Drosophila melanogaster: one gene and its partners. The gene in region 1 interacts genetically with each later gene. Each region holds a gene or a part of one and is shown in the gene's direction. Other genes may lie near its edges.

Region 1 (2,997 bases):
TTTCATCGACTCATAGTCCATCGATAGCCACGTCATATCGATTACTTGTAGTTTTGGTATTACCAAGTACTGAGTGTATGGCCACATTGCGACACCACACGCGGCCCGTTGCAGTTTTTTATTTATAAGTCCACACCGCATACAAATGGTTTCGCAGCAGCAAATCGAGGCCATTGGAGGCGTTCTGAACAACAAGGAACGCCCACTGAAAGAGCGCTTTCGAGCCCTCTTCACGCTGAAGAACATCGGCGGAGGAGCGGCCATCGAGGCGATCAGCAAAGCCTTTGACGATGATTCGGCCCTTCTCAAACATGAGCTGGCCTACTGCTTGGGTCAGATGCAGGACGCACAGGCGTTAGACATCCTCACCAAGGTGCTAAAGGACACCACCCAGGAGCCGATGGTGCGCCACGAGGCTGCGGAGGCCATGGGCGCCATTGGTCATCCAGATGTGCTGCCAATTCTGGAGGAGTACAAACAAGATCCGGTAGTGGAGGTGGCCGAAACATGTGCCATTGCTCTGGACCGCGTCCGCTGGCTGCAGAGTGGCCAAAAGGTAGATGACAGCAACCCTTACGCCTCCGTTGATCCCTCACCGCCAACTGCGGGCGACAAGAGCGTCACCGAGCTGAAGGCCATCTATCTGGATGCCCAGCAGAGCCTGTTCGATCGATATAGGGCCATGTTCAGCCTGCGCAATCTGCGCACCGAAGAGAGTGTCTTGGCCATTGCCGAGGGACTTAAGGACTCTTCCGCCCTCTTCCGCCACGAGGTGGCCTTCGTACTGGGCCAGCTGCAAGAACCCTGCAGCATTCCCTTCCTTCAAGAGAATCTGGAGGATCGCCTGGAAAACGAAATGGTGCGTCACGAGTGTGCCGAGGCCCTTGGCGCCATCGCCACAGAGGACTGCATTCAGATCTTGAACCGCTACGCCGAGGACGACAAGCGCGTGGTCAAGGAGAGCTGCGTCATCGCCCTGGACATGTGCGAGTACGAGAACAGTCCGGAGTTCCAATATGCCGACGGCCTAGCCAAACTAGACGCGACCAAGTGATTTTCGCCGAACATTTGCATCTACCAGCTGTGTATATATTAGTCGTAAACTTGTATTGTTTTGTCACTTCTGTGATCACATGGACCTAATCTTATCGAGACATAAAAAGAAATTTGAACGTGACTTCCCTGTGGTTTTTGATTAACCTGCTGGATGGATGAATCAACTGGTGGGAATGCTGATGCTAATGAGTGCCTAGTAACTATCCTAGTTTGACGGGCATTTTATCATCAACTGTGGGCAACTCTTTGTTTTTTTTTAAATGTTTTAATGTGTCTAGTAATTAAAAATAATACTATTGAGTTTTCGTTATTTTTGCTTTAAATTATTCGATGAAATGCATTCAGAATACATTCTGAAATTCAAAGTACAAGGCGACATGGCAGCCCCATTTGAGCGGTTATAAACTGAAAAAAATATGAATACTTTAGCAATGCACTCAAATTTCCGCTTTGGAATTTAAATAACAAGTATTTTCCTATCCTTTAAATCGCCCAACAAAAACAAAAACTCAAGAACGCGGCTGGCTGCCCAGTGTGACCACTTGACGATTTCCCACAATTCACCTTGCCGGCATTTCGTATTCGGGATTTTTTTGCAACGGCGAACACATGAAGCTCCTGATGCTCGGCACAATTTTGGCATTCTTTTCTGTAATCTCGGCGACAATGGCGGCTAACAAGGAGAGGACTTTCATCATGGTCAAGCCCGATGGCGTCCAGCGCGGGCTCGTCGGCAAGATCATCGAGCGCTTCGAGCAGAAGGGCTTCAAGCTGGTCGCCCTGAAGTTCACCTGGGTAAGCGGATAATTGAATTAGGAAGAAATCAATAGATATAAATACGTGGAAACGGGTTGCCCCACGCGGGGTTGCCATCGGACCTAACCTCAAAGGCTGGGTGCAGGCGTCATCGCGGAATGACATGTGTTTAGAGGTCAGAACTGCAATTAACTGATAACGAACCGTTTTGTAACCAGGCCTCCAAGGAGCTGCTGGAGAAGCACTACGCTGATCTGTCCGCCCGCCCCTTCTTCCCCGGACTCGTGAACTACATGAACTCCGGCCCCGTGGTGCCCATGGTGTGGGAGGGTCTGAATGTGGTCAAGACCGGTCGCCAGATGCTCGGCGCCACCAACCCCGCCGACTCGCTGCCCGGCACCATCCGCGGTGACTTCTGCATTCAGGTCGGACGCAACATCATCCACGGCTCCGATGCCGTCGAGTCTGCCGAGAAGGAGATCGCCCTGTGGTTCAACGAAAAGGAGCTGGTCACCTGGACCCCGGCCGCCAAGGACTGGATCTACGAATAGACGGCTACTTTAACTGTCTGCCCTCGTCTAAGCTGAATACAGATTGATTCTTCTAAAGAAATAAAATTCCACAATAATTACTATATAATCTTGCTTCTTTATAAGGAGTGTGAGCTTTGGAAAGGTTTCTATGATATTAAGTTAAGGATAGTCGATAGCCTATCCACTGAGCTGTAGGCTTTGTTGGCGGTAGCACCCATCCTCTGGGTATAGAGGAGCCTCTTCCACAGTAGCTTATGTAAGAATCCCATGTGGAGCTGGAAAAAGCGATGCAATTAAAAGGGAGCTCCCGCCGGACAATGCATTTCCCTAGACATACCGAATTTCAAGAAATTTCCCCTTATTTAATTTGGGAGTTGGCAAGGATCGGCCGAAGAACACAGCCTTCCATTGAGATTCAAGTGAAGCCACCTTCTTGGACTCCTTGACATGGCCAGCTTGAGTCTCTTCTTGGACTCTGCGCCAAACAAGACGCATGTGGGTCAGTTTTTGGCAAAGGGCGGCTCTGTCTCCTCCACGAGACTCGCAAAGTTTCTCCAGAAGATCAAAGGTCTCCAAAATGGAGGCAGCATCGCGTTGTTTTCGCAGGGATATGTGCTTCGCTTGTTCCAGTGCGGTATTTCGGGGCGGTTCT
Region 2 (7,952 bases), on another chromosome or scaffold:
CGATAAGGAACATAGTAACAAAATCGTAAAACAAAACCAAAAAAAATATATTAAGTGTACGTTTTGCATATTCCTATATAGTTAACTAAACGTAAAAGCAAGATGGGTAAACATGAATACTACTATAACAATCATTTTGCGTCCATTTTTGTTGTTTCCTATACAAGAAAAAATTAAATAAAAACAAAAACAAACCACAAAAAAAAAAAATAAACAAAAAAAAAGCGAACGAATAAATCACACAAATAGGATGAAAACAAAACTATATTCCCAATTACATTGTATAACTGTCTTTTAACCACAAGCAAAACGCTAACACAATCGGTACACGATAACCAATATACTATACATATATCAAATATCCACTCTGTGTATGTTTTGTATCTGCCATGGAATATGTACCCGAAAGTAATCTAGATAACCACGTAAAGGACATAGGACTCGATGTCTAGATGTGTCGTCATAGTTTAGAGGCCCCAGTATTTACTAGCCAGTACTTTGCATTTGTTTGCCTTTATCTTTTACCTTTACCATTGCCTTTAAATTAACCCCTCTGTCCAACCAACGAAATTCAAAAGAAAGGGTTCTTCATTTGATTACCATACCCCTCAGCACGCCCAAAACTCCTAGTATTCTGGCCTGTCCCAGGGTGCTGATTCAAAAACTAGAGATATACATAGGTGTATACATAACATACTAATCTGCGTAAGATGTTTTCCCCATTTCGGTGTAACTAAATGTTAATATTGCTAGCGCTCAATACGAAATTACCGTATACAAGACCCACATACAGCAAATAAAAAGACACAAAAGCTTACTAAATTGTATCCCAAGGCCAAGGAAAATATTAGAAAACCAGATATACAACTAACTCAAATACAATTTTGTGAACATGTGAAAAACAAATCGAAAAGAAATTTACTCAATAAATGATTTTTCGTATATAAGAAGTGCATTTTGAATCAAGTTTTGCGATTATCCTTTTCAACAACGTTTTAAAATTAAGAATATGATATTTTCGAAAAACATTTTTCAGAATAACTTGGCCAAAAAAGGTGGCTCAGCTAAAACGATGACTGTTTTGTGTTGCTTATTAACATTGCTAACAATCTGTAACACTTTCAAACCGAGTTTCAGGAATAATTTTTTTGACCAATTTAAGCAATTTTTCATTAGGGGTACCATCATCAAAATTCGACAAATTACCGATTTTCTCATTTTCGATAACCAAATTTGCAAAAAATGGCCAAAAATTAAAGTTGCCAGACTTAAATACAGTTCGATGAGGAATTTGGAACGATTTCAACGAGGTATGAGATATTCCAATTTTGGACAAACCTTTGATTTAATATAAAAAGAAAACTTTTGTTTTTGTAAAAAAAAGAGCAATTAAAAAACCGCGTTAAATGCAATACATTCAAACTAGTTTTTATCATAGTTTGGCAAAAGGAGGTCGTACAGGTCGTTGTTAATTTCCCAAAGAAGCGTGCAGATTAATTGTAATGAATCCATTATTAAAACATAAAATAGTCTTTAACTTTTGTGTAATTCAGAACTCGCAATAATATAATATATAATATAAAATAATATAACATAATGGGAAAGTCGATGTAAAAATATTTTTAAGGTATTAAAAAATATCGATATTGATGCTTCAATCCCCGCTTGCCTTAATTTTATAATAAAACGTAATATACTGGTTTTAATTACATCAAAAATAGCCATATTTATTTATACTAGCAAAAGTTACCGACAAAAATATCACGAATAAAAACCGAAATCTAGCTGAATATCGATAGATCGCCGAATAAATACCAGTTAAAGCAACTATCGATATGCGGTATTTTTGCAGCTTTCATCCCCAAGTCACTGGGCCCTCGAGACCCCCACCACTTTACGAATTTCATTCGCCAAGTGAGCACGCGGCTTCGTCTGATTCTGCAAAAGAAGTTTTTATTCTGTGACTTTTGTGAGAAGTTATCAACTGAAGGTATTGTGCTATTTTCTATATCTATTACATTTGCGAGGCTCTTTTGCTTAACAAGAAAAGAGACGGTGTGCCCCGTACCTGCCATTGATTTTTTTTTACCCATTAATTCACGTCACCTTGCGCTAGATTCTGTAGTTATGTAATGTGCTAATTTTTTTATTGTGTCGGTGTTGGTTTAAACTAACGTTTTTTTTTGTATGTTCGACAAGCAGTTCCGGTTTAACTGCATCGAAAAGAAATCCCGAAATGGGACTTGAAAATACCCGAAAAGTGCTTACATAACCCTTGCGAAAAATAATTGTGCCGAAATTGTGTTTGCCATCAATTAAACACGTAATAAATTGGGCGTATTAGCAAACTTTTCGGTATTTTATACCCCCAATCCAAAGTTCATTTAGAATACCCAGAAAGAAAATGGAAGAAGCCACGCTGGATCTTTTTCCCATCTATTTCCTTCCAATTTGCAACCACGCTGGAACTGCCAACTTATGCAATAGCAACGAGTTGGCAGGCCGGCTCGTCTGTACGAAAAAATGTTGCACATGAATTGCGATTATATTTCAAAGAGAATTGCACTTCTCTAGAATCAAATTGGCCTGCATTTGCACAAATATATTATTATATACACCAAATGCAGGCTATTCTATAGTAAAACGCGTGGCAATTGATTGTTCTACCGCCCAGTCGCACATGAGTGTGTATGAACACACAGTTGCGAATAAATTCCATGTGCCACTAACGCCCTCTCGCTCACTCCCATGCCAGACACCAGCTGCGCGTGCAAGTACTTATCGGGTGTGTGTGTGTGAAGAAGAGAGAGAGAGTTGGTTTTATTTCTTAAGAGTAATGTAACTATTTCTCTTTGGTTGCCTCCCTTTCTTTTCTGACCTGCTTTCTTTTATTAAAGATAAAAATTCATGCGAAAAAAACGGGTTTCCCCAGTGTTCTCATTTCTTCTATTATTATTCCATTCCCATACCCCTTAAACCCTTTCTGACGTCAATCGTTAATGTACGTATAGTATTCATGTGATTTATTGTTTATTGTAGCCCTTTGTGTGGCCTTTTAGTGCGATTTTGCACTTGGTTGAGATTAGTGTTTATTATTACATATCCCTGGCGAATCACATTTCCAATTCTCGCCCAGTCGGCGGAAATTTTCAGTGTGATTTTCAAGCCGATCCACGCCCTGTCCTAAAACCCCGATTCATCGCACACTGAGCCATAAAAATTATAACTTCGCTGCCGTTTAATTTTGGCAATTAAGCATTTTTGCAGTAACTTTGCAACTGCATTTTTTACGCTCTCTTTTTTGATGGGCAACTAGCTCTCTTTTATTTTTTATGTAATTTTTGTGATAACGGGACCTTGAAAAAGTGTCGTAGACAGTTATATAAATTAACTGTATTAGCAGAAGTGTTTATCTAATCGCTTCACGCATTTTTTTTCGAGCGCCGCCCCTCTTCCGCCTGCGTGAAAGAGACGAAGCGTGAGAGAGAGGGAGAGAGCGGCAGGTGGACGTCAGAAAGCAAAGTCACATGCTAGCAGTGCTGCCAACCCTATCTTTAGAAATAAAGCCAAATGTTATTAATAGCTTAGCAATTAAATAGCTACAAACAATTAATAAAACCTTTCAACTCTTTTCAACTTTTATTTTTATAAAAATTGATAATAGTTTTGGTTTTTGTATTTGAATAAATTGTTCACTGCTGTATATTGAAGTTTTCTAAGCCAGTCCAAGTAGTTCTTAAAACTGAATATCAAAGATACCCCAATTTTGTTGAATAAGGAAGACATGTATTTGGGTGTAATAGAAGTACACTATTCAATCTTCTAGAAATCTAGCTAACAACTAGCTAAACGGGACTATCCGTCTGCTTCGCAGCTGACTTGTCGGCTATTTGCCAAATGTAAATGTTGTGCGTACATTCATTTTGGCAAGCGTTTAGAAAGCGCCGTCGAAAACCTCGAAAGGGGTAAATGAAAAACAATTGGCCATATATGCATTTTTGGTCATGGCCAAAACGAAACAAAAAGTGTTTTCTAATGAGTACAAGTGTGTGGTACAATACTTCCTCTTATGCAACGAATGGCGACATTGAATTCTTGAATTCTCAGCACTGATAAGCGGCGATCTCTCGCCCTCTCTCGCTCGCACACGTGCTGTTGCCAACCGCTAGTTTTTTTTCGGCTCTCTCCGAATTTCGCATACTCTGCATATGCATATAGAGAGAGAACGCTCTCCCCCTCTCTCGCTCACGCTCATCTGTTGCTGAACTTGACGATGGCGGCGACTGCGACGCCGACGTAGGCAGAGCAGGCTAGCTGGCAGATTTCGGCGAAAGGAACTTTCACAAGCAATTCAGTTGCCGTCCGGTTCAGACTTCTGACTTCCGAGGAATAAGGATAAATTTTTTTCGGTTTTGTGCTGTGATATAGAAACACAAATACAAATTGTACGTATGGCAAACAAATTGGATATCAATTATCGAATCGAATTGAGCCATAGCCCATTTAACAAAATACGCGTGTGGTTCCTAATGCTTTTATTATTATTTTTTTTTTTTAAATCAAATCCAACCTGAGCATTGAAAGAAAATCTGCCTGGTTATGTAAAACAACAAAAGAGTTGAACTTGAATCATTCATTGAACAATTTTTTTTCTGGTGTGTGGTGGTGGTCTTATGCAATCAATAACAATGAATTAAGAATAAACTTAACACTGGATTGTGGATACTACTACGACTGCTCAGCCTTCGGTGGAAGCTTTCCACGTGCAACTGTAGAATTTTTCCAGCTGAGGCTATTACATCACGAGCCTTTTAGCTCTCGGCTCTCTGTGGCTGTGGCCGAAGAAAAAGCTTCACTCTCTTTCCAGCCAATCAAAAGTCTAACACGATTAGATAACGGTTGTTATTTCAAAGAAAGAGAACAGAAGAGAAACGAAACAATGGCAAAGCACAGTTCTCTTTGCCAAGTGTGTTACATAAAACCCTTGTCAATGAAATGCTGATTTAATTTCGCTAAAATATAATTTAAACCACACGGCTAACGCAGAGCGGCGGCTGCTCTTGAAAGTCTAAAATTAACAAAACGCGCTTCAATGGCGAATGCCAACTGCCAAAAAAAAAAACCGTGGCCTCTATAGCCATCTTGCTCACACCCACTCAAATGCCCATATATATTGGCTTTTTCCATTGAACTTTTTCAATTCAATTCTTTTCTTTTTTTTTGTGTGGTGTGGCAATTATGCAATCCCCCAATCTTTACTCAATGAAAACCAGTAGACTGCCGCTCTATCCAACTAGAACTGCAATTGATTTATGTCATATTCTCTAGATAACATAAATTAGATAAGCACTTATGTATTTATGTATGCCACGTAATGCCATGTATTTTACTTAGTTTTCAAAGCTAACTGGTTAGAACTTAATTTTCCAACAGTACTTATTTTATATCGATTTAAACCACCACGTGGCAACCAGCCGGCCAATAAAACTTTTCACCTTTTTTGCACAAAACCAGTTTTACCGGCAACTGCCAACACGCATACTAACACAAACAACAAATAATTGTAACCAAAACGCTGATGTTTCCATAAACCATTCAATATTAACCCCCTTTAGCATTAAGTTTAAGTTGCCATTTATACTAACTGTGCATGTTTTTATTTGTTTCATTTGTCGCTAAAACCTTTTTACTTCACCCGCAAAAATGTTTTGTAACCATTTGTAGTGCTGTTCAAAAAAAAAAGTGCATGTTTTTCGGTTTCGGTTTATAACTGTTCAAAAAAATAAAAAAAAAGTGCATGTTTTTCGGTTTCGGTTTATAATTTAATACATTGAAAATTTTCACATTTTCATTTGGCTTTGGGCTATTCTTCTATTGTGCCTTTTTTTGCACCCGTGTAAACAAAGTGAATCGTACATCCACTATACAAAAATACCGTAAACGTATATCGTAACCATTATGCAACGCACCATCACCCGCATGCCATGGGGAATATATCAGCATCCATAACATCACAAAGGTATATCATCATCGGTATCACCAAGTATCACCATCAGCGATGACGGAACTGTCGAGATTAATCAGAGTTTTGGCCAATTGCACGATGTGTTTACAGCAAAATGGGCAAGGATTTCGATGCTGTTGGATTCGTCAAGGATTTCGCTGCCGGAGGCATCTCCGCAGCTGTCTCCAAGACTGCCGTCGCCCCCATTGAGCGTGTGAAACTGCTCCTGCAGGTTCAGCACATCTCGAAACAAATCAGCCCCGACAAGCAGTACAAGGGCATGGTTGATTGCTTTATCCGCATTCCAAAGGAGCAGGGATTCTCGTCCTTCTGGCGCGGCAACTTGGCCAACGTCATCAGATACTTCCCAACCCAGGCTCTGAACTTTGCCTTCAAGGACAAGTACAAGCAGGTGAGACTTTGCAGTCTGCATGTTAGCAATGCGAGCGGAAAACACTAACGCCCCGGTTGCTATTATGTGTGTAACTTAGGTCTTCCTGGGTGGCGTGGACAAGAACACCCAGTTCTGGCGCTACTTCGCCGGCAACTTGGCCTCCGGTGGTGCCGCTGGTGCTACCTCTCTGTGCTTTGTCTACCCCTTGGACTTTGCCCGTACTCGGTATGTTGGTATATTTGCGAAAAACAAAAAAAAAATGTCCAATAAACTAACGTAATGCTTTCGCTACGAATTTACAGCTTGGCTGCTGATACTGGCAAGGGTGGTCAGCGTGAATTCACCGGTCTGGGCAACTGCTTGACCAAGATCTTCAAGAGCGACGGCATCGTTGGATTGTACCGTGGTTTCGGAGTGTCCGTGCAGGGCATCATCATCTACCGTGCCGCCTACTTCGGCTTCTACGATACCGCTCGCGGTATGCTGCCCGACCCCAAGAACACACCCATCTACATCAGCTGGGCCATCGCCCAGGTTGTGACAACCGTCGCTGGCATCGTGTCCTATCCCTTCGATACCGTGCGTCGTCGCATGATGATGCAGTCTGGTCGCAAGGCCACCGAGGTCATCTACAAGAACACACTGCACTGCTGGGCCACCATCGCCAAGCAGGAGGGCACCGGTGCCTTCTTCAAGGGCGCCTTCTCCAACATTCTCAGAGGAACTGGTGGCGCTTTCGTGCTTGTGTTGTACGATGAGATCAAGAAGGTCTTGTAAATTAAATTATTAAATTATTCAAAACAAGCAAAATACAACAACATACAACAACAAAACAAAACAAAAGAAGTAAAACTAAACACTACCAGCTAATTATGTTAGATAACTGAATGAGAAAAGCTAAAACAACAGCAATAGCAACAGCAAAGGCATAAGCTAAGTTTGATCTGCAACCAACACCTCTTACCACGAACAACGGCAAGCAATAACAGCAAGAACCCTTCCTTCCTCACCCCGATATAATTATGAAATTATATTATTTATAAAAACTGGGAACTAATTTACGGAACGATGGCCAGCGTCAATAGAACAACAATACTACAGCAAACAGCAATGCTCGGGGCAGAGAGAGGATGCGACTCAGCACATGAGACTAGACCCACTACACTGAAAGACGAACGAACATAGCGACGATATCGATTAGTATTGTTAAGTTTGGGTTAGGCTATATACTATAGATCCAGTCATGTTGCTGGGTCGTCCCACATCTCCCCAGCCAAATCAGTGTTATCGATCGGATGCAAAGAATCGAACCGAAGACCTGTAGATTCTTTCGCCTCCGAAACGACAAACCAACAAACAAACTCAACTTCGGTTGGTTTAAAAATATATAAAAATTGATAAAAATAGTACAATGTTGTGTTTTTCTTTCTGCGCACGTACATATGTATGTATGTATATCGATCTTTCATATTTCGACTTGAACCCAATTATTGCAATGAAAGTACATATGTATTTGTAATTCAAAAATTATATTAGCATACTTACACAGACCAT
Region 3 (4,948 bases), on another chromosome or scaffold:
AATATTTTTATAATCTGAAACACGGAAAAGACAACAACTAAAATGCAATTTAAATTATTAAATAAAAATGAGCAAACTTGGTTATTTAAACACTTGCCTGTTATATGGCATGTTACTCTGCAAGCAACTGTCGAAAATCAACTTTTATTCTGTGAATTCTTAGATATGAAGTTAAATGAAGTGCAAATAAGCTATCCCCCAAATTAAAGTGGTCCAGAGTGCTCGAAATTATCGTCCATCTCTAACGCATTTTAAAAACGCAAGTGGCTGGTCTCACTCATGTTATTCCACATTATATTTTGTATTGCATTCTATTTTATCTAAGCTAGCAAATATATTTAAGGCAACTAGACTAAATGTTAAGCATTCGTGTTTTAAGGCTACAAAATGGACACTCCGTTCTTAACAACGCCTGCCAATTGGCACTTTCGCGAAACAAGAGCTCCAAAAGGTCGAGCAAAGACAACGTAACGCGACAGGGAAAAATATTTGGCTCGTTGTTTGGAAATCGGCTTAAAGGCAGCAAAAGCCATTGGTATCCATCGCCCGATGCAGGAACATCAGGCAATCAAAAGTCGCTGCACGCCTTAAAGTTTGGAACCCCACACTCGAAGACAACTTGCAGCCACAACAATCGACGCATGTCTGTTCTGAACAAGTTGTTCATGACGAACATCACTGATATTCTGGCCACCGGCGCAGTTGCCGATTCCATCGTGGGACACGGAGTGCAGATTTCCTATGTCAAGATCACCAGCGACTTCTCCCGCATCAATGTCTATTGGATGGGCAAGGATGGCGGGGAGAACCAAGAGCTCGAGAACACATTGAATCGCATGAGCGGCAAACTGCAGCACGAGCTATCGCAGCTCCATCTGATGGGCGAAGTGCCAAAGATCAAGTTTGTCCGGGACAAAACGAGCACTGGTCTCCATCAGGTCCACGAGGTTCTGTCCAAAATCGATCTTCAGCACAGTTACTCTAGTTCAAATGCGGAAGTTGAAGAAAGCGACGCACAGAGTTGTCAGACGGCTGCGGATGAGGAATGGCCGGAGATGCGACAGGATTTCCTCAGTTTTAACCATAGCTTAGTTATGGACAAGATTCTCGGCAAGATGCGCAAGTCCAAAGATGCCTGGGTTAATCATAGACAAAATATTGCGAAAACCTAACGTTTGTTAAATCCCTCGACTTATGTACATAATGTTAATTATTAAAGTGTTATTCAATCCAATGTAAATTGGGTTCTAAAGTTGAAAATAGGGGTAGGGTCTGTAAACGTTTAATCATTTTCCAATAAGTTTGAAATGTTGGCTACTTTTATCCCAACTAGTTCATCATGTTGAGTGGTTTTAAAATAGAGTATCGATTGCGTTTCTAAAAAAAAGCTTTAACGGCTTAAAATTGAATGTCAAAGGTCAAATCATTACCATACTCGATTATGTTATTATGCTTTTAAAGCTTGCGCACTGCATCTGTATCTGTTATCGATATAAAGCAAAAACGCAGAAAAGCCGGACATGCGCATAAAATGAATAGTTTTATAAGCTTTTAGTATTGGTTATATATTCCCTTCAGGATATGCATATTGTAGATGTGCATTTAATTTAATAAATAGATAGATAATTACTTGTAAGTTAATGTAATCAAATCAGCTGTTTTTGATAGTTGCGATAGTAGGCGACCTTGCGCTTAAATTGATATCGATGTCGGATAAAGCACTGGACTTGTTATCGAAACCAACACTTAGCTTCGGCATACGGAAACTATTCGATATATCGATGTATCGCGAGTGATTCACCCAGCCCTATCAATTATACCAAAAAAAATCAGACCAGACCAGCTTATCGGGTACAGATTGATTACTTTCTTGCATCTCTAGTTTTAGTCGAAAAAATCCATTGAAACGATTTGGAAGCGGAGTGTGGTGATAGTTGTCAGTTTTGCACAATAAGAAGAATATTTGTTTAAAAGACCAAGCCAAAGCCCAAATCGCAGTGCGCTCTTTGTGGCGATAAACATGACATCTACACTAACACAACACAGTTACGCCTGAGAAATAAGTGACAAATTGGAAAAGTCGATGATAAATTCGTTTGGGAGTATATATACAAATTATTTTCGTGTAAATGTCGATAAACACTTTTGCTCGCAAAACCCAACAATCATACCCGTCTTTACCTTCTTCGCGATTCCAATTCCGATTCCAATAAGTTTCGCTACATCGCCATTATAATCCGAAGAAGCAAGAAAGGTTATTGTGGTGGTACATACAATATATCGGGTTGGTTAATCGTGTGGGAGAATGAGTAACTCATGAGTGCTCTCCAATAACGATTTCTGTTTGCAATTTTCCCCATTCCCCCACGATTTACGCATATTTGTTATTAACCACCACCCCCACCGCCGCACACAAATTTTGTCAATTTTTTTTTTGTGTTATCTATACAAACGAAAAGAAAAGTGATGGAACGCATGAAAGTATTTATAATGCAGCAATTGTATTTTGCAGAGGAGTGTGTGCAGTGAAGTAAAGCCAGCGATTAAAGGAAACAGCATAGAAAAAAAAAAGACCCGGGAGCTGAGCAGTAAAAACACAAACATCCGGACGAGTTGGGATCGCAGTTCGATCTGATCTGATCTGATATCTAATCTAATCTAATTGTGAGGGAAATCGGACCTCGCCGCAATGGATAGTTTAATTACAATTGTTAACAAGCTGCAAGATGCGTTCACATCGCTCGGCGTCCACATGCAACTGGATCTGCCGCAGATCGCGGTGGTCGGTGGCCAGTCAGCTGGCAAGAGTTCCGTTTTGGAGAACTTTGTGGGCAAGTGAGTATCCCCCGCACGCCTTATCAGCATATTATCCTCTCATATGGGATCATACTATCATACCATATCACCCTATCAGCACCCCAAATATCTAGCCTACATATATTGTGATTGATAATGGACCTGAAGAGACCCCTCTTTGGCATGCAGCGAATCGATTTTTCTGCACGCCAGTGCTCAGCGAAAAGTAGCGCTATTCTTTCTATTATGTCTGCGTTTCGTGGAATGCCCAATTAAATGTTACTGAAAAACTATGAGTAATCGCTGATAGCACTCGCTTTCAGGCATTATTATTATTTTTTTTTTTTTTGGTTGTTTATTAACAATCAATAATTGGTGTCTACGAAACAAGTGTACTTGCTCATAATGACCAAACCATATCAGTGGTCTTAACTTAATTATGATAATAAGAATTTTATCTTTCACCTGCACAAAGCTGTTGAAAATCCAAAAGCCCCGCAGCTCTGCAAACTATATTCACAAAACGAATTGTAGAACATCTACGTATACGTATTTTGAATTTTGTTAAACAGAAATCTAAATTGTATGTATCAATGCGATTTCTTGTGTGTTTGTATCTATAAGCCTGCGCTGTCTCTCATTTTTCTTTGTTAGTGTCCACTCTAAATACAAACATATAAAGAAAACAATGGCTTACGCCCCAAAAAAATGCAGATAAGGCCAAAATGATAGTGTGTCGGCGATTTAAGTTTTTCCCCACTCTTGCCCAACGATTGAGTAGAGTAACTCACATTCTATATGTTTACTTTCGAATATATTTGTAAAAGTTTGACCTCCTTTAGAGTCGATTTATTTATTTTTCATAGCTTGCAAATAAGGGGGGGGGGGGGTGCGCTGAAAAAGAACATTAATCAATATGCCCATTCATGTATTTACAAACTGCATTGAGCCATGTAAAGTTTGTGCTTACATAAGTCCACTATGTTCAAAATAGTCCAGTTAGATTTCGCATGCGCCGTGCTTTATATGTATGTATGAATGTATGTATGTGTGTCAATTAGGGTGGTTACCCCGCCCCCCGCCCACCTGACACCACTGAGCCATCGGAGGAAGCGAGAGAGGCAGCGAGACCCACGGCCACGGCAGGCCAAAGTCTTAATGTCAATGGAAAATGAAGGCTTCTTCTAACTCTGGTCAGTGCGAACAGGATGTAGGTGACCAGAGTGTTCAAAATGACCCATTTACCATTTGATTTATTAGCCTAGCTAACAAATAGCTTTACTTTAAGTACTCAGTGGTATTAAACAATGCCCAACACTTTTGGAGTCCTGAAGTTCTCACTTGGAAATTTAAACACTAGCTGCAAGTCATAAGTTAAATTTCCATTAAGTTTTTAGTATTGGCAACTCAAATACTCATTATTCGATGCAATTTCAAAATGTTTTGATACTAGGCTTAATGCTTTCTACATACTTCTTAAGCCCAGTAGTAATATTGTTAGATGAACAGGCTCCACAATCCAAAAACCAAAGACTTCTATGATTCCATTATTAAATACAAAACGTTTTCCCCATTTTACAGAGATTTCTTGCCGCGCGGCTCTGGTATCGTAACTCGGAGACCACTAATCTTGCAACTGATCAATGGAGTTACCGGTAAGTTGAGCATTTGATATGATTAAAGAGAAGCTATCTTCTAATGCTAACATTGATATTTATTGCAGAATATGGCGAGTTCCTTCACATTAAAGGCAAGAAGTTTTCCAGCTTCGATGAGATCAGAAAAGAAATCGAAGATGAAACGGATCGTGTGACCGGTAGTAACAAAGGCATTTCAAACATTCCAATTAATTTGCGCGTCTACTCGCCGCACGTACTCAATTTAACCCTGATCGATTTGCCAGGCCTGACAAAGGTGGCCATTGGCGATCAACCGGTGGATATTGAGCAGCAAATTAAGCAGATGATATTCCAATTTATTCGCAAAGAGACTTGTTTAATTTTGGCTGTGACCCCGGCCAATACGGATCTGGCCAATTCGGATGCCCTCAAGCTGGCCAAGGAGGTGGATCCACAGGGTGTGCGAACCATTGGCGTTATAACCAAGCTGGATCTGATGGACGAGGGCACCGATGCACGCGACATTCTGGAGA

Evidence for each region. A genetic interaction does not mean that the proteins touch.
Region 2: of awd (region 1) and sesB, changing one enhances a phenotype caused by changing the other (phenotypic enhancement), as found in Drosophila melanogaster (one study listed by BioGRID).
Region 3: of awd (region 1) and shi, changing one enhances a phenotype caused by changing the other (phenotypic enhancement), as found in Drosophila melanogaster (4 studies listed by BioGRID).

Annotation. Positions count from the first base shown.
Region 1 is NT_033777.3:31,744,624-31,747,620, reverse strand, and holds awd (abnormal wing discs), read left to right. Parts: upstream 1-1,543; 5' UTR 1,544-1,677; coding exon 1,678-1,851; intron 1,852-2,030; coding exon 2,031-2,363; 3' UTR 2,364-2,449; downstream 2,450-2,997. Other genes in the region: nero, read left to right, coding at 146-1,054; CG1896 (uncharacterized protein), read right to left, coding at 2,500-2,620, 2,683-2,997. UniProt on the Drosophila melanogaster protein: Major role in the synthesis of nucleoside triphosphates other than ATP. The ATP gamma phosphate is transferred to the NDP beta phosphate via a ping-pong mechanism, using a phosphorylated active-site intermediate.
Region 2 is NC_004354.4:10,780,844-10,788,795, reverse strand, and holds sesB (stress-sensitive B), read left to right. Parts: upstream 1-1,888; 5' UTR 1,889-1,990; intron 1,991-4,337; exon of another isoform or gene 4,338-4,445; intron 4,446-5,906; 5' UTR 5,907-5,984; coding exon 5,985-6,019; intron 6,020-6,115; coding exon 6,116-6,416; intron 6,417-6,495; coding exon 6,496-6,623; intron 6,624-6,700; coding exon 6,701-7,175; 3' UTR 7,176-7,803; downstream 7,804-7,952.
Region 3 is NC_004354.4:15,890,316-15,895,263, forward strand, and holds the start of shi (shibire), read left to right. Parts: upstream 1-1,884; 5' UTR 1,885-1,936; exon of another isoform or gene 1,937-2,266; intron 2,267-2,512; 5' UTR 2,513-2,689; coding exon 2,690-2,835; intron 2,836-4,377; coding exon 4,378-4,451; intron 4,452-4,519; coding exon 4,520-4,948. Other genes in the region: CG15916 (uncharacterized protein), read left to right, coding at 357-1,172. UniProt on the Drosophila melanogaster protein: Microtubule-associated force-producing protein which is involved in the production of microtubule bundles and which is able to bind and hydrolyze GTP. Implicated in endocytic protein sorting.